Saccharomyces cerevisiae S288C: one gene and its partners. Changing the gene in region 3 together with the main gene of any one other region gives a genetic interaction. Each region holds a gene or a part of one and is shown on either strand. Other genes may lie near its edges. The genes, in order: ROM2, YKL069W, TUM1 and SWI5.

Region 1 (6,748 bases), on a different chromosome or scaffold from region 3:
CAACCATAAAACTAGAGAAATAGAAGTCAAAAACAAGTTGTGTATCTCGAAAAGCAATTTAAACTTTAATGGAGAGGCGTTCAAGGCGCGTAAGATAGCTTGGCCACCAAAGATAATAATGTAATAAACGATAATAATACTAACAGCATGATACCCGTTAGCCAAGAAAGTCTTATTGTGAATAAACTCGAATTGCTCAGCTGGATAGCCACTAAAGTATTCAAACACTTTGGAGAAAATTGGCCATAATTCAATACCGAATGGGTTCTCAATGGAAGGAACATGAACCTTCAAGAAACATGAAGAAGAAGAGTTCAAAGACTGGAACTGGTCGGCAACTGCTGCTATAACAGTAGATGTGGTAGTGTTCATGACTGTTTATGTTTCGTAAACAAACGGAAAAAAGCCGAATAAATAAACTAGAAGTAAGCTTGAAGCGAGTGAAGAGCTGTCAAAAACCAATCAATGACCAAATAAAAAGACACCAGATATGCGGAAAATACACAGTACCTAACTGGGGTAATAAGTTAAATAAAACTTCAAACAAGGCTAAACAACAAACAGAAGACTCCAGATAAATATTTTATACAATTATTTACTAAGAACCTGTGAAAAAAAAAAAAGACAAGCCAAATGCGTAAGCCAACCTTTTGTTTATTCACAGTCTGGAAAATTTTCTGAAAATTTTTCACTTTGTGGACGGAATAAAAACTTCGAAGCTTTGGGAAGAAAAATTTCGCGTTTTTTTTTCTCGCGTCATCAATCATTTGCATACAAATCCCTCTGACGGTGAATTATCATTATTATATTATAAAATTATTATTTATGTCGTTTTCCACTATTGTCATCAATGTTTATTATTCATAATTCTGCTCCTTTTACAACTTTAGTTATGCTTTTTATTCTAAAGAAAATAAGGAAAGTCTATATACGTTGCTATCTTAACCCCAGAAATCTAACGACGCAACTGTATCATACCCGCGATAATCCTCGTAGCAGTACAGGATTTCTTGAGTACTTGTTTGTAGAAGTCGAATCTTATCAGCAAGGACGCAACGAATTAATTCGCCAGTTTCAATCTTTCTGATCTCAATGAAGTTGCTGTCGAATGCCAAGATGTACGGGTACCAAATTGCAAATTTTTGGGGCTCTCCCTCCCAATGAATAATATGCGATTCTTTCTTTCTCCAACCCTGATTATTGACAAAGAAGGCAAATTCTGTGTAACACAGCAAAAACATATTTCCCACACGATAGATTGCCATTGGTTTCAAAGTATCCCTTAGTGCAAACTCTAATGATGTATCGGCCGGATCTAACAAGGATTCATGAGCATTCTGTGAAATGCTAACGATCTGAAAACCCTTTTTACAGCCAATGCATAGGTTGGCCTTGAGAAATGAAATAGAGACAGGTTCAGAATCAAAAATAACCTCGGTGATTTTTTTCTTGAGACTTTTTTTGTTACCGCTACCACTACCATTTTTTTCGGCCAATAATGGATGTTCATGCTCGAAGTACTTAATTGAATGCGATGAACTGTGTGCAGTCACGATTAATCTCTTACCATTGCAATCTCCTTCTGCGAAGAAACTCACATGATTGATCAGTTCCTTGTGATGCTTTTTGAAGAAAGATGTCCCATTACCTTCTGCTTCGATTAATGACAGCGGACAACTGTATAATTTTTTATCAATTAAAAGTATGATTGATTTGAATTCTTCTAATACAGCAATTTGAGTGATATTATTTCTTTGTACTAGTTGGATTGGAGTTGAAAAAAAAGCAGAGCTTTTATGTCTATGATCTTTATTCTGCTGTCTTTTAATGTTGCTCATATACAATCCAGAGTTCGTTGCAATCAGAAGTTTTCTACCCCCATCACAGGAAGTAACACTGTTAATTTTGTTGGTGTAATCGAAGAACCTATCGCTCATTTTCGTTACATTGAACATCTCCGTTTTGCTTATAATAGCTGCTTGTCCTTGCTTTATTTTTTCCAAAAGCGTTTGCAATCCAGCGTATTGCGCAGCATATAATGTAACTTGATATCTCTGCTTGGCACCGTAGTATAAGAAAGTTATTGCGTTTTTAGGATTACTCGTGTTGTATTCTGGTTGAATTACAGTTCCTGAACAATCTGGGTGGTCTCCAATATATTTCCTCAACGCAGGCATATCTTCACCTGGACATGCAAATAACAATGGCAATGGAATGGGCCTTTGGAATACCTTATGCTGGTGCCATTTATTAACTGCTTTGGCCTTTAAAAATAAGAGCATATTATCTAGAAGATAAAATTGTATGTCACCAACAACTGTTCCGTCCGATTTTGACAACTCCTTCCGTGATAGTATACCTTCATGTTTAATTTTTCTCCTTTCGTCATTTAATCCTAAATTAACGTATTCGTTTTTGAAAAGAATCTTTTGTTTCAACAATTTTACATCATGTCTATCTTGTGCAGCACCACTTGCTTGATCAATCCTTTTCATAAAATCCCTTAATGCATCCATGGCTTTGCTTAAATCTTCATAATCACTTTTGTCCTTCTCGGGGTCAGTAGATTTCATGATTTCTTTGACCAATAGCATATATCGACCTGGTCTTGAAACACCTTGAGATAAAAACGAATCAATACCATGACGTAAGGAGGAGCTCATCATATCGTCATCAAATCTAGCAAAATAGGGATTGACTGATCTTTGGGTTTCAATCAAGTACTTCGCATATGGTCTTGAAGCGACATATGAAACAAATGGTTCAAAAAATGGAATGAATCTTAAAACAATGTCCCCAATTCCTCTCACAACTGGTGAACTTCTTTGCCTATCAGTTAAAGCCTTCAAAAAACGTCTATTCACTGAATAGATATCGTTTATATGTGCAAAAACATGCTTGATGAAATTTTTTCTAATATCTGCTGAAATAATATTTGTTTCAGCCAAAGTCTTCATGAATGTGTCTCTTGTAATTTCTAATGATTTTACAAAGTTCTTCTCCGTGATATAAACTTCATAAATAGCCTCTTGTCTTTTTATTTCCTTTTTTGGTAAGTTTTCCCAATCCTCTTTAGATACGGAACTTGTCCAAGATGGCTTTTCTTCGTCATCATCATCCAATGCCATTGATATATTACGTTTCAGGCCGCCATTTGGTTTCAGATTTAACCTTGCTTGTTGCTCAAGACGTCTTGGACACGAAATAGAGTAACACAAAGCGTCTCTTGTGCACGTAGGGGAATAGCATTCCGCCAGTAATGTAAACACACCATTGACGTTATGAATGGCTGCAGGGTTCTTTTGCTGGGACAATGAACTACTCATATGTAGCCTCGACCCTGTCAAAGTTGCCTGATCACTATTCAAAGATGAAGTTGAACTTGATGGAACCATTCCGGAATTCGGATAAGAGTGGTTCCCGGAATTAAAAGATGATGAGTTTGGGAGTAGCATCAGTGGATCATGGGCGTTTGTGGAACCTGTTCCTGTAAATCTTGAGTTATCTGTAAATTCGTAAACTTCATGTGGTGAATCTCTTAACCTGTGCTCGTATACCACATCATGGAACAGCTTTTGTGCATCTAGTGATCTACCAAATAACAAGGCTAAGTTTCTATCAGAAGTTCTAATGATAGCACAGATGACATCGACTGCCTGCTGCCCTGTAAATGCGTCACGGTAAACTAATCCATCCTTCTTATGTTCCCCGAGTTGTATCGAACTTTTAAATTTTGTGGCGACTCTTGACAACAAAGCTGGATATACCTGAGGTTTTTTTGATGAAGCGCTCATAACAGGTCTAGATGCCGACAAAGGTGTCATACTACTTCTACGTGGAGAAGATAGAGAAGTTCCTGAAACCGAAGTGTATCTTTTTAAAGCTAATGAGGTGGAAGAAACTCTCGTTTTAAGACCCAACCCAATATTAGACGAGCTTCCCATAACACTTGAGGAGTTTCCAGACCCGTGGACATTATTTAGGCTACTGTGACTGTTTGAAGAGTGATGATGATGATGATGATGATGAGGATCTGAGAATGGGTTGGAAGTTATATCATATTTTTGCGTAGCTTTCCTGCTGTTAGAAGTCTTCGATTGAAAAGATGATGCAATATTTTTTAGAGTAGATGAGTTCAACGACATCGATCTAGATGATATAGAATGTGAATGTTGAGGGTAATTACTGTTACTACTACCCACTTGATAATGTGCGCCATTATTATTAGTATTATTATTATTATGATTGTTAATATTATTATGCTGAATATGCTGGTGATGTTGGTGCTGTTCGTGCAAGTCTTTGGAACTTGGTCTCGAAAAGAAACCAAACCCTTGCAAAGGCGATTTTCTAGCCTGTGTAGGAGTGGTTGATGCACTGCCGGTGGAAAAACTGCTCTGCTTCTTAAGACCAGCAAGTGCTAGTTGCGGGAGCGAAGGTTTCCTCTTAGGCACAAAAGCTGTAGTACTTTTATTCTTCTGGTAAACTTCATTTCTTGGAGACATTGGAGGCAAAGGGTGGTCATTATAGTGCTTGGCTTGTCTACTAGCACTATTACTCGTTGAATATATATGGGACATCGATTTAGCATGAACAATGGGATGGGAAGATGTGGCATCTCTTGCCTTCTTTGGACTGCTCACAGGTGTATTATCAGCACTAGACAAACTTTGTGTATCTGGAACTTCCTTAATATTAGTCTGCTGCGATAAAATGTAATTTGAGCTTTTCCCCTTCATTTCGTTATTTGGTATATCAGAATCATCGATGGCGGCTTCAACTCCAGAACGTCTCCTCTGCTTGGCAATAATGATGTCATTAGCAATGTCTTCAGAAAGCAGAACATTTAGATTCTGGATATTTTCGATTCTATTAGGCAGCAGCTGAGAACTTATGTCTCCGTGCGAGTCACTATCAAAAGTAGCGAAGGAATCTGGCCTCCTTTCTACACCAAATATTTGGGAGTATATGTCATTTCTGTCCCCTAAGCTGTCAACGTTGGTTTCGCTCATAACCGCAGGAAAAGAGATGAATTGTCCAATTAAGTCAGCAGTAATAGAGCACTGTAATCGATTACACTAACAGAGCGAATGAATATATTAATGACCACAAACAACAAATAAAAAAATAGCTATAAAACAGCAAAAAAAAAATCCAGGAAAACCTAATCGGCTCAATACTGTTATTAAATTAGGTCGTCAGTACTCACTGGTCATAATGCCCTTTAAAAACTTTCTTCAAGCCTTAGGACCTCGGACTTCCATACCATTGTTTTCACTATCATTCTCTCTCAGTTTCACAGACTCGGCCGTTACGCGGATCATCCACCACGAACCCCTATCCTTTCCGTTGCGGTTTGGTTTAGTATAACAATGAATAACAATAAATTAAACACTTGGTGCGCAGTAACAAACATCAATAAAGGAAGATTATTGGTATTATCAGTCTCTCCACTCCCAGTATATTAATAAATGCCTGCGTATCACTCGACTTTCCCTGTAGATCCTAACACTGACCGCATGGTAGGGAACTTTGCGCTTCTGCCCTTGAACACTAAGTTCAGGGGTCCTGCATACCCCAGCAATTCCGATTACGATATTATCGACGAGTGCTTGGACCTATTTCGTGCCAATTCCTTCTTCAAGAATTTTGAAATTAAATCACCCGCCGACAGAGTGCTCATCTACGGAATTCTCTTTATCAATGATTGCCTAGCCCATTTGAAAATAACAACGTCATTTAACGAAGCCGTCAAAGTGTTAACCAATGTGGCCTTGGACAACTTTACTTTACCAGGTACACCGGGTTTCCCTCTGAATAATGTTTACCAAGTTCCAGTACAAGATCATAATTCGATGGACTTGTTGAAGACTTATATTCAGCAATTCCGTCAAGAATTGGCAATGAGACTATTAGAAAGAGTCTATAGCTCTACAGATTCTAAGGAATATCCCTCAAAGTTTTGGTTGGCGTTCACAAGAAGAAGATTCATGAACAAATCTCTATAAAGGTATACGGTGCAAGGAAAATAATAAAAACTAGAATTTATGGGAACATAATAATCCACATGCAACTTTATTTGAACCGAAAATTTGAAACGGGAAAGAAATATATAAATGTATAAAGTATAAATACGTCAAAATATGCTTTAATGAACGATATACACGTTAATATACAAGTCTTATTTGTGTTTTGTTCACTTATTTACCTTGATTCTGCTGGTTTTTTGTTGCGCTTTGGAATAATTTTAATGCCCTACCCTGTAGCGCATCCGTAGCTTTTTTTATTCCGTTTACATCAATTGACATGTCATTTTCGTTAGCCTTAAAATTCTTTATAGCTTGTCTCAGAGCTTTGATGTCCTCTACGATATTAGAATACTCTTTTTCGCTAGAAATCAGTTTTTCATATCTTTTAAATAAATTCTCAGTATCACTTATCATAATGTCAGCCTTAGAGATAAGCTCTAACCTTTGCCTGATCAAGTTATCTTGTGCCCTATTTGCATTTGCTTCTTCAATAAGTTTTGCAATTTCCTCTTCGCTTAACCCAGAATTTGGTATTACAGTAATGGATTGTTGTTTCCCACTACTTTTCTCAGCGGCAGATACGTTGATGATACCATCCGCATCGATATCAAAAGTAACATATATTTGGGGAATGCCTTTAGGCAAAGGGGTGATTCCTGTAAGTTTCAAATCACCAATCAACTTGTTGTTACGCACTAACCCTCTTTCACCCTGAAAAA
Region 2 (3,041 bases), on a different chromosome or scaffold from region 3:
ACTTTGTATTGAGTAAGGATCCAGACACCTTTAGTGGCGAGCTTGATAATCCAGGTAACACAATATCGCCAATGATTTTTATCAAGTAAGACTATCGCATCCAGAAGATTATTAGTTTAATGTTGTTCGATAAGGCCTATTTTTAGGCTCTTTTTTCAACATTTCCAATCGTCATGTGAAAACTGTACAAGCCACTTAATTTCTCAAAGACCTCGCCACAGAGAAAAGCTCATATCTGTGGCATCACTTACTGCTTCTATGCATTGATAAATCTAGCTAGAATTTTCACCGATATCATGCAAGTAAATGATAGAAAATCATCACAGTTACGCATCAAACACATTTTGAACGTTCCTTTCTTCTTTACGGCAAAGTAAGCATGCCTTTAGCGAGACTGGGGTGAGCTGAAGAAGAACTTGCTGCACTATAGATATGACTTTAGATGTCCGTTATTCAACAATTAAGTGGTTTCGTGGTCTAGTCGGTTATGGCATCTGCTTAACACGCAGAACGTCCCCAGTTCGATCCTGGGCGAAATCAATTTTTTTTTCCGTCAGATATCTCCGTCATTTTCGTTGACGTTTTTTTCTTACCAAGCAAAGATATTTTTAATAAATGCTGAATATCCTTTGTTTGAGGGTAAACATGCCATAAATTTGCAATAAGGGTTACAAATAAAGATTGAGAGCTGTCAATTTGGCGAACAGGGAATGTTTTCTTCACCAATGATCTCCTGAAGCCCCTCAATCTTTCTTGATGTTTATCTCTATTCGTGCCCGTCCGACAATATATTTGACAAGAGAGCTACATGGGAATATTGGTTATGTGCGTAAATACTTGTTCGTTCTCAAAACTCTTATTTAAAGACACATGATTTATTAATTAATTTAGCAAGTTTTTCTAGGAATTCTTTGTCTACGTGGTCGAATCCTTCGTAATCCAAACAATCTATGTCTATGACGCCCAATGTCTTACCATCATTGGATATGATTGGAACAACAATTTCGCTCTTGGTTTCACCGTCGCACGCAATATGACCGGGATACTTGTTGACATCTGGAACAATCTGCGTTTCCTTTGTAGAGGCTGCAGTTCCGCAAACACCTTTACCGAATTGAATCATTTGGCAAGCGACCTTTCCTTGAAATGGGCCCAATATCAGTGTGTTTTCTTCGCTAGCTTGAGTAACGTAAAATCCAGCCCAATTGATATCAACAGCTAATGACTTGTACGCATGCCAGATCAATGACGAAGCGTTTGACAAATTACAAACCCAATTGACTTGTCCATCTGATAGCCCCTCGTATGAAAGCAGAAGCTGTTCTAGAATTTCTTCCTTATTCAGATTTGAAGAATAGTTAACATGATCGGCATGATGAAACCCGGTTGATGAGCCCATATCTGTTTGTTTTTTTTTGTTTTTTTTTCTAATTTACGGATTTGTTTTATCAGCAAACGCCTTTGTTTGCTTACATTTGGGAAAATCGTCATCATATAAACATGAAGAAACCGATGATATTAGCGTTCGTTAAAAAGGATAATACTTCGTTGTAAACTCAACTGTAAATATCTTTCTTCATTTCCTCCAAACATGGTTTTCTAACTGCAGGGAATAGGTAAACCTTTGCGTTTGTGTTCTTTCTGCATCACGGTGGGCCTTGCCCTCTGTTAAGTCAATATTAAAAGATAAGATAAGAAAAGAATGAAAACGAATAAATAATTATTGATATTTAATGCGCAGAGAAAATACAAAACTTATAAGCTACCTGGATAGTTATCTTTTACAAGGCGAGCCATTTCTTGGCCTCTTTCTCCACCAAATTCTTTGAATTTTCAACATATGCCTTCAACATTAATCTGTGATTTATTTTGGTCGAATTTGAACTTTGATTGAATATGGGTAATACTGATTTCAAGCCCGACAATGTTTTGAAGCATAGCATTGATATAATAATCTGGGGCATCAGAAACGCTCCACTTTACTTCGTACATTTTCCCCCTCAGGTCTTTTCTCTTCTTCTTGGTCAGTCAAAGTTGATAACATATTAATAAGCCAGTCTTTATCGTCGCGGATAATCCTTGGTGTACCGTAAACGTGCACAGCGGCAAAATCCCATGTTGGTACGAACTTATGGGTCTTTTTCTTCATTGGGAACCACGCCGGAGAAATGTATGAATCGACGCTCTGAAATACCACTAAGCATTTTTGAACTCTTTCCAGCATTTCCACATGTTTATTCTTCCGTGCTAAATGTGCAATAAGTTTATGCTCTCCATTATCGAACTCCACGAATACAAATGGAATATGTGATGCGCACATACCAAAATCGGGGTCATCTTTATTGGAAGAAGTTCTCCATCCGAAGAAACCTTGCCTGCTAGCCTTAGAGGAGAATAGTGTTCCTAGCGGGGGTTTTTTTGATAATTTGTACCTTGAGAGTTCCATGGACTCAAAATGTTTAGGAATGTACATTATGAAATAGATTCTTGGATTCTTCTCAGACTGGCAATTTATGTCTATAATATTAAGGGATGGTTTTCGGCGAATATGCAGAATCTTCGGTTCTAGGACCAGTTATATACCATCCTAATTAAAATCAGAGGACATAATAGAGATAGTTTCAAATCTGGTTAAGCGTTAAAAGATCAGCATACAAAGTGATGCCACAAAATACCTTCTTAAAGGGGCGTGAGGCAAAAGCAAAGTCACATCATATAGCACCTACCAATAAAAAAGTGTATTACACAAAGGTATATTCCGTATCTGAGTTGTATATAAGTAGCCAAATTTGCACTTATCTAAAAGACGCCTTCGCTGCCGTCATAGTTGAAGAACTTTCCATTATCTTCTGGTAAAATTTTTCGGAAGACATCAATTAGCGCAGAGGCACTTTCTTCTGGTGTGATAATATTTACGCCGCTGATGTCTATATTCTTCTCTTTAAAATGATCAAGGCCATATTGGCCCATATCAGTAGATACCATACCTGGGTGAAAAGCAACGACAGTAAAACCCTCCGGTTTCAATTCAAAACTGAGCG
Region 3 (3,609 bases):
GTGGCAGATATGCATCCAGGAACAGTAAAAATGGGCTGTTGAGGGTCAAGATTGATGTATAGTGGTTGGTAAGCGTTGAATTTCAAAGCGTAAGAACATAGTGTCCTCGATAGGGAAGTCTTCCCGGTTTGCGAACCACCAACAATCACCACTCGAGGGCCTTCAAAGTTAGACATTCGTATCTTCTCCAACATGAAGTGTAGATTATAAATATATTTCATAGTATGGTTAGGCTTGACAGTTATTGTATTCGTAGTTAAATCAGGACATTTCCATAATAATTCTGTTTCTTCGACAGCGTATATGGGAAACTTCCAGTTCTGAAAAGTGTACTCATCATCTACTGCCAACTCGGTGCCAAATATCTCAACTATGCCCGAGTTTACCTTGACTATCAGTTTTCCCTCTGCTTTAAGATCAATTTGCCAATCACTGCCCTTGGGAATAACCAACTTGTGCCATTCGTTATCACCAGTTATCAATTCTTCAGAGGTAGTATGCTCATCAATACCAGGTAGACTTGCCATGATGGTTTAATCGTGTTGGAATTTCGAAAAGAATTAATAGTTTGTTCTTTTCCCTCGATAGAAAGGTCTCTGCTCATTTTTGCCAGCAGTCTTATTTTTTGCTGTTATTTTCTATTTTACCGGGCAATAACAATGAAGAGCACAAATAAGACAAAGAAAGGGAGATCGCCCTTTAAGTAAGTAGATAGATAATTAATATATGTAGCTAAATAAATCGACTTGTCAAGAATATATTTCTCTTATTAATCTCTGTTTTCAGCAATCCACTCGGGCCCGGATTTCAAGACCCACTCGGTCCAGGATCCATCATATAATCTAACATTGGGAACTCCTGCTAGCTCCAATGCTGTCTTGATAATGACTCCTGAAACGCCAGTTCCACAAGAGCAAATAGTTGGTTTACTTGGGTCCAAAGTGCAATGAAAGTCTTTCAATGCCTTTTCCAAAGTAGCGTGTATCGCCTCCCCAGCTTCTGGGTACGTTTTGGTCTCCGGATCAAGTAAACTTCCATATGGTAATGGTTGGGTACCTGGAATATGCCCCGATGGAATGTCGGAACGAGGCTCTGGTTCTGTACCTTCGAATCTACCGAGCGACCTTGCATCGAAAGCATTGAATTTCTTAGCCAGTTCCCCACTCTTTACCAATTGGAACATTTCCTCATAGTCTACAATCTCCTTGTCTTGGAAACTTTCTGAGGACTCATAATGACTCTTTGGATAGGGTGAAAACGCTGCCACCTTAGAGGAATCTAGAGGGTACTTAAACTCTCTGTACTGGTTGAAATTATTTAGTAAGTACACCTTAGGATGTCCCATCACTCCTAATGTCCAAGCACATCTAGGGGAGCTAAAGTTACCAACACGATCGTAAACCACTAATATATCATCTTTTTGAACTCCTAAATTACTCATAGCGTCGTCAAAAACCTTCTTTGTAGGGAACATATGTGGATAGGGCGATTTTTTGTCACTGATTGCATCAATATCAAAGAAAATGGAGTTTGGTATACGTGGTTTGGTCAAGAAATCCACTTTATTATCAAGCTTCCAACTGGGTAGGTACCATGTTGCATCAACTGGAACGATTCTATGAACCTTCTCACTGGCCACTAACTTAACAAACGCTTTTGGAGAAATAAGATCAAATAATGGCATTGAATGTATGGGCAATTTTCTTCACAACTTTATGCTTTTGTCCTCATTGTTTGAATGCACTTACGCTGTATTATTGTACACAGCTGAACATCCCGAGCGAAAATTTTAAAATGGTTTAATAGACGAGATGAGAGATGAGCTCTTTAAAGGTACTTTCTAAGAAGAAAAGTATCGGAACAGGACTTACCACGACAAACTAATCATGCCGGTTACTAAATCTTTATCTAAGTTGCAAAAGAACTTATCCAAGAAAGGGAAAAATATCACGGTTCATCCGAAGGGTAGAAAGTATGAAAAGCTGGTCAGGGCTACTATGCGTGAAGATAAAATCGCAGCCAAAAAGAAGCTTCATCAAGACAAAAGAGTCCACGAACTAGCTCGGGTAAAATTTATGCAGGATGTAGTTAACTCTGATACATTCAAAGGGCAACCAATATTTGATCACGCCCACACAAGAGAGTTTATTCAAAGTTTTATTGAAAGAGATGATACGGAATTAGACGAACTCAAGAAGAAGAGGAGGTCAAACAGGCCACCAAGCAATAGACAAGTGCTACTGCAACAAAGGAGGGATCAAGAGTTAAAAGAATTTAAGGCGGGGTTTCTCTGTCCAGACTTGAGTGATGCGAAGAATATGGAATTTCTAAGAAACTGGAATGGCACTTTTGGCCTTTTGAATACTCTAAGATTGATCAGAATTAATGATAAAGGTGAACAAGTCGTTGGAGGAAATGAATAAGAAGTGTCGCAGAGGAATCTTTATGGTTTATATGCTCTTTATATAATTTTATGTATATTATAGTAGAAAAAGCAAAGAAAAAAAAGAAAATTGATATTATTAGCGAAGCTTTTTCACAAATTAATCCGTAACAAACAAATTGGCAAAGACAATTGAAGGGAGTAGTGCGAAATATGGGCCGTGATATATGCACATTAGACAATGTTTACGCTAACAATTTGGGCATGCTAACCAAACTAGCTCATGTGACAGTACCAAACTTATATCAAGATGCCTTCTTCAGTGCATTATTCGCTGAGGATAGCTTAGTTGCAAAAAATAAAAAGCCATCTTCGAAGAAGGATGTACATTTCACACAGATGGCTTATTACAGTGAAATACCAGTGGGTGGTTTGGTTGCTAAATTAGTTCCTAAAAAACAAAACGAACTATCTCTCAAGGGCATTCAAATCGAATTTTTGGGCGTGTTGCCTAATTATAGGCACAAATCCATCGGTTCAAAATTACTGAAGTTTGCAGAAGACAAATGCTCAGAATGTCATCAACATAACGTGTTTGTCTATTTACCAGCAGTGGATGATCTTACAAAGCAATGGTTTATAGCTCATGGCTTCGAACAAGTGGGCGAAACTGTCAACAATTTCATAAAAGGTGTAAATGGCGACGAACAAGATGCTATCTTATTGAAAAAACACATTTCTTAACAGATGGCTGAAAAATTTTTTTTTTTTTTTTGGTTTTGCTTTGTATACACATGTATCTATTTTTATAAAGATGAAATATATACGTCTAAGAGCTAAAATGAAAAACTATACTAATCACTTATATCTATTCTGGTGATTCATCATCTTCAGCTTCTGTATCCGTATCGATATCAGTATAATCGCTAGCATCACTTTCATCATCACTTTCGGTTTCGTCGTCATCAGTAGAGTACTCATCATCCTCCTCAGAATACACCTCTACTTGTTCCACTGCAGGAGAATCACGAACTTTCATATTCATGGTAATATCCAAATCTGTAGTGAAATAATCTGTGGATTTAACGATTACTCTAAAAAAGAAATCACCAACAGTTTCAGGTGCAGGCTGACCTAATGGAATTTTTATGGTCCCGATTTCCCAATCATTTATATCGAATTTTTCGTGTTTGGTTAAATCCATTTTTATCCTCTTATCAAAGAAA
Region 4 (4,809 bases), on a different chromosome or scaffold from region 3:
TAACTGCCACCAATAATCCCAGGGGCAATGTTAACACTTCACAGACTGAACAATCGAAAGCTAAGGTAACCAATGTAAATGCAACGGCATCTATGTTGAATAATATAAGTTCGAGCAAATCGGCAATATTCAAACAAACAGAGCCTGCCATACCCATATCGGAAAATATATCTACCAAAACACCAGCACCGGTAGCTTATAGATCCAACAGACCTACAATAACTGGAGGTTCTGCTATGAATGCCAGTGCTTTGAATACACCAGCAACAACTAAATTACCACCCTATGAAATGGATACTCAGAGAGTTATGTCAAAGCGTAAATTAAGAGAGTTAGTGAAGACTGTCGGAATTGATGAGGGTGACGGTGAAACTGTCATTGACGGTGATGTTGAGGAATTACTATTGGATCTTGCCGACGATTTTGTTACTAATGTTACAGCTTTTTCTTGTAGATTGGCAAAACACAGAAAATCGGACAATTTGGAGGCAAGAGACATTCAGTTACATTTGGAGAGAAATTGGAATATTAGGATTCCTGGTTATTCCGCAGACGAAATAAGAAGTACAAGAAAATGGAATCCCTCTCAAAATTATAACCAGAAATTGCAGAGTATCACATCAGATAAGGTAGCAGCTGCAAAAAACAATGGAAACAATGTTGCAAGCTTGAATACAAAAAAATAATTATGTTACCCACATTCTCCACTCTTCCACAGAAAAAATTCCTAAAGTTATAGTTCACATTGTTATATATGTATCTATAAAGCGAAATTTTTTAAAATTAATTGATTAATTAATATTTTGTATCTAAAGTGTTCATACTATATTATTTACTTAGATTATACATAATTAAAAAAAAAAAAAACTTTTTTTCCTTGTTTTCATTTTGTTTTTATTATTAAATATTAAAAAAAGTGTCCATAACATCAATGTTTTTTTTTACCTTTGATTAGTTTTCATTGGCGAAACCATAATCCCCGTTCCATTCCCATCATAACTACGCTCTCTTCTGAGTTGATCTTCAAGCTTGAACATCAACTGTCCATTATGATCCTTGTTAATATTTTCTTTGATTGGACTACTAGAAACACTTGAAGTTCCATCTTTTCTTGGTCTTCCTCTTTTTCTTGGAGACCTTTTAATTACCACGTTTTCATACTTTTTACCACCGCTGCAAATCATTCTACTTCTGTGCACAACCAAAGCGTCTTCTCTATTGAATTTCTTACCACAGGGACATGCATACGCCTTTTCTTGGTGCGATTTTTTGTGTCTTATCAAGTCATGATTTCGTACAAATGCCTTATCACATCCAGGGTGATCACAGGAATATGGCCGATCTTCCAAATGTGTTTGAATATGAGATCTGATGTTATACCTTCTCTTGAATGTTTTTGTACATCCAGGAAATAAACATTCAAATGTTTTATCAGGCATTTCCTTCACATATTTATCGATTGAACCTCTGGGCAGTGTTGTGAGTTTTCTTGTGATTTTTGAGGGACTATTTGTGGTATATGTGTTGATTTCCTTAATGTGTGTGCCGAATTGAGGAGATCTTCCTTCGTACTTACTTTGTGACTTAAGAACGGGAGAAGGCGTTTCGGAAATAACAAATCTACTTTCAGGCTCATTTTCCTCATTATCATCTCCTTCATTGTCTGTATTTTTCGTAAGTACATTAGGGTCTAAATCATTGAAAACGCCTTCCCGATGTCGTGCTTGCTGGCTCGGCGGCTTTAGATGTGGTGTCGCAGCATTGATACCCAATGCATTCTCACTGATAGAGCTAAAGTGTAACTGCTTACCTCTTGGTGTATATTGGTCTATATAACTGGAGGAAAGGGATACTTTATTGACTGATGGAGTATTATTTACAGACCCAGGAATTGTAGGCATAATATCCACAGAAGCACTCTTTAAAGACACTGATTTTGTAGGAGAAGGACCTGGTTTTCCAAGAAGTTCAATACCCAGGCCCAAAGGTTTCTCTGAATATTCGCTTTCCTGATCTTCAACATTAATCTTGAAATCTAACCTTAAGTTATTAGGGGTAATGTTAGCAGAGTTGGACGTAGCTGAACTAACTCTACTCTTTGGAGTGAAGGGCGTAATAAATTTGGTTTTTGAACTGAGGTTTTCATTTGGATTCGAGCGAATTTTCTTTGGTGAAATGAGGGAGTCATTGAAACCTTCGTTCAATTCCTGGAAACATAGTGGTCCTACAGTACCACTAGAGTTTTTTCTCTGCAGGCAGTACTTTTGTCTATTGTTTCTCCTAGAAGGTGACCCAGTGAACGAAGTATTAGACATTGGTGGGGAAATCATTGGTGAAAGGCTATTTGCGTATACATCCTCCACATTTTCTGAAGCAGGAGAGATCTTCCTTTTGGGAGATAAAAACTGTGGACCATCAGAGTTCTCTAAGGTAGCCTGTAGTTGTTGTTGCTTGTATTGTGTTTGTTTGAGTTCTAACTCTAACTTCTTATTAGCCTCTTGTTGTGCTCTCAATTGCTCGCGCAACTCTTGTTGTTGCTGTAACAGTAATTCCCCGAGGTTTCTATCGAAGCCTTTATTAATTTCACTTTTGTTTATAGTCGACAATAAATTATCCGCCATGGAAATCTTCTTTTCATCGTGGGGCTTATCACTCATTGTTTTTTGATAAACAGTCATACCACTGTCTTGATTTAATCTATTTTCATTCAACAAGCTAGTTGCATTTAGAGTCACTTCTCTTGAATTATTTTCTAAGTCAAAGTTCATACTTTGCCAATCATTTCCTATTAACTCGGAGAAAGTAGAAACCTTGACAGATTTTTCATCAGAAAGTGGTCCCAGCGGAAGGTTTAAGTCATTTATTTCATTCATTATAACTTCGTTGGTTTCACCATAGTTTAGGTTCAATATATTGCCTAAATCATCTGTTGCTAGTGTTTTATATTCGCCTTCTATTGCATAACTCGAAGGGTCACTGCCTCTAGCATTTGAGTAATAAGAGTTGGTTTGTAGGTCAAAATTTAGGCTTTGTACTTTTGAGGCATCAAACCAAGAGTTTGATGTATCCATCTTTTTCGAAAAAACAATGACGTTAATATTTTATTTGATTGCGCTTTAATTATATCGCAGATGTTAAACACGTTCTCAGGATCTATTTACCTAGCTCCAAGAACGAGTTATATGGTGGTATCTATATTGTCGTTCTCAAATCTTTCTTCCAACGATGCCTTTTTGTCTTCCGTGCCAATACATAAATAGTGAATAAAATTGCAGACGATCCTCTATAGTACTCAATCATTGTTTATAGAGCAGATCTATAGGGAGAAAGAAAGATAATTAGTCGCTAATGGTAGGTATTGTTATTGTTTACCTTTTTCCTAAACAGGTTAAAGTACGAAAGTGAAAATTTCATCCTCTCTACTTGCCCGGATTGGGATTCAGACCAAGATATTTCCAACAATGCTGCTATGAATTGGAACAGAGATGTTCTAATGAATATTTAACAAGGTGTGAGCGGAGTGTACCACTCCTATCGGCTTTCAGATAATCATACTACCTTTCAGAATATCTAACAATAACACTCCGATATTTGATTCGCTCTCCTTTAAGACAGAAATAACATTGGCCCTAGAATCCAATGCCGTAAATATCTACTTGACACCATTTAATGAAAGAACTGTCTGACTGCCGAAGTTTTATAAGTAGTTTGACTATGTTTCATAAGTTAGGCCACTAGACAGCATGTGAAAACGGTGATGATAGTAAAAAAATATCGTTTGGGTTTTGGCTACCCGGAGGTCGTTTGCAAAAGAAAGTGTATGCAAATCTACAAAACAATAGATGTCGTTGTTGAGATAACAGATTGGCACAAAATTACTAAATTGTTGTGGTACGCAGCTATAGTTTGTACGAAAGTAGTAGCAGAAATTAACAGATACAGATCTGCAATTTGGCATAATGTACACCAATTATTCACTTACAAGCAGTGACGCAATGCCCCGAACTTACTTGGTCGGCACAGCCTCACCAGAAATGTCTAAGAAAAAGCGCCAGTCTGCAAATTGTGACAAGCCAACGAGGAGGGTGATCCACATCATCGATACTAATGAGCACTCAGAAGTCGACTTGAAAAATGAACTGCCAATAACATGCACGAATGAAGACGGTGAGATGACATCAAGCTCATGGACTTCACAAACCGCTAATGATTTTCTCAAACTGGCATACGTAAACGCGAAATTAGACCCGTCTTTGCCATCTCAATATTTCAAACAAGATATCATAAATGTTTTACAAAGCTTGGAGATTCCTGGATGGTCTGTGCCCGGCTCTAAAGAATCCTCGTTGAATAAGAATTTATTAACTTTGACACAAATCAAGGGGGCCCTTACAAATGTTATTTATAAGATTCACTATCCAAACTTACCCCCTTTACTGATGAGAATTTTTGGTGATAGCATAGATTCTGTAATTGATAGAGAGTATGAATTAAAGGTTATTGCGAGATTATCATTTTATGATTTAGGACCCAAACTAGAAGGGTTTTTTGAAAATGGCAGATTTGAAAAATACATTGAGGGTTCGAGGACATCTACTCAAGCCGACTTTATAGATCGGGATACTTCAATAAAAATTGCTAAAAAATTGAAAGAGTTGCATTGTACTGTTCCATTAACGCATAAAGAAATAACGGATCAACCGTCATGCTGGACAACCTTTGATCAGTGGATCAAATTAATAGACTCGCATAAAGAGTGGGTTTCCAATAATGTAAATATAAGTGAAAATTTACGCTGTTCAAGTTGGA

Evidence for each region.
Region 1: mutations in TUM1 (region 3) and ROM2 together harm fitness more than expected from each alone (negative genetic interaction), as found in Saccharomyces cerevisiae (3 studies listed by BioGRID, with this or other methods).
Region 2: mutations in TUM1 (region 3) and YKL069W together harm fitness more than expected from each alone (negative genetic interaction), as found in Saccharomyces cerevisiae (2 studies listed by BioGRID).
Region 4: mutations in TUM1 (region 3) and SWI5 together harm fitness more than expected from each alone (negative genetic interaction), as found in Saccharomyces cerevisiae (2 studies listed by BioGRID).

The regions. Positions count from the first base shown.
Region 1 is NC_001144.5:860,978-867,725, reverse strand, and holds ROM2 (Rho family guanine nucleotide exchange factor ROM2), read right to left. Parts: upstream 5,013-6,748; coding exon 942-5,012; downstream 1-941. Other genes in the region: fatty acid elongase ELO3, read right to left, coding at 1-372; ARC18 (Arc18p), read left to right, coding at 5,472-6,008; Hsp70 family ATPase SSQ1, read right to left, coding at 6,201-6,748. UniProt on the Saccharomyces cerevisiae protein: Stimulates the exchange of RHO1 GDP-bound form into GTP-bound form.
Region 2 is NC_001143.9:305,643-308,683, reverse strand, and holds YKL069W (L-methionine (R)-S-oxide reductase), read right to left. Parts: upstream 1,400-3,041; coding exon 857-1,399; downstream 1-856. Other genes in the region: YKL070W (uncharacterized protein), read right to left, coding at 1,964-2,473; OSI1 (Osi1p), read right to left, coding at 2,800-3,041. UniProt on the Saccharomyces cerevisiae protein: Catalyzes the reversible oxidation-reduction of the R-enantiomer of free methionine sulfoxide to methionine. Does not act on S-enantiomer of free methionine sulfoxide or R-enantiomer of dabsylated methionine sulfoxide.
Region 3 is NC_001147.6:801,781-805,389, forward strand, and holds TUM1 (thiosulfate sulfurtransferase), read right to left. Parts: upstream 1,685-3,609; coding exon 770-1,684; downstream 1-769. Other genes in the region: cleavage polyadenylation factor subunit CLP1, read right to left, coding at 1-527; TMA16 (Tma16p), read left to right, coding at 1,887-2,423; peptide alpha-N-acetyltransferase subunit NAT5, read left to right, coding at 2,597-3,127; protein-transporting protein SEC63, read right to left, coding at 3,252-3,609. UniProt on the Saccharomyces cerevisiae protein: Sulfur transferase that accepts persulfite from NFS1 and transfers it to UBA4 in the pathway for 2-thiolation of the wobble uridine base of tRNAs. Stimulates sulfur transfer by NFS1.
Region 4 is NC_001136.10:747,672-752,480, forward strand, and holds SWI5 (DNA-binding transcription factor SWI5), read right to left. Parts: upstream 3,072-4,809; coding exon 942-3,071; downstream 1-941. Other genes in the region: TAF12 (Taf12p), read left to right, coding at 1-686; bifunctional choline kinase/ethanolamine kinase EKI1, read left to right, coding at 3,960-4,809. UniProt on the Saccharomyces cerevisiae protein: Determines the mother-cell-specific transcription of the HO endonuclease gene that is responsible for the initiation of mating-type switching in yeast. Recognizes a specific sequence in the promoter of the HO gene.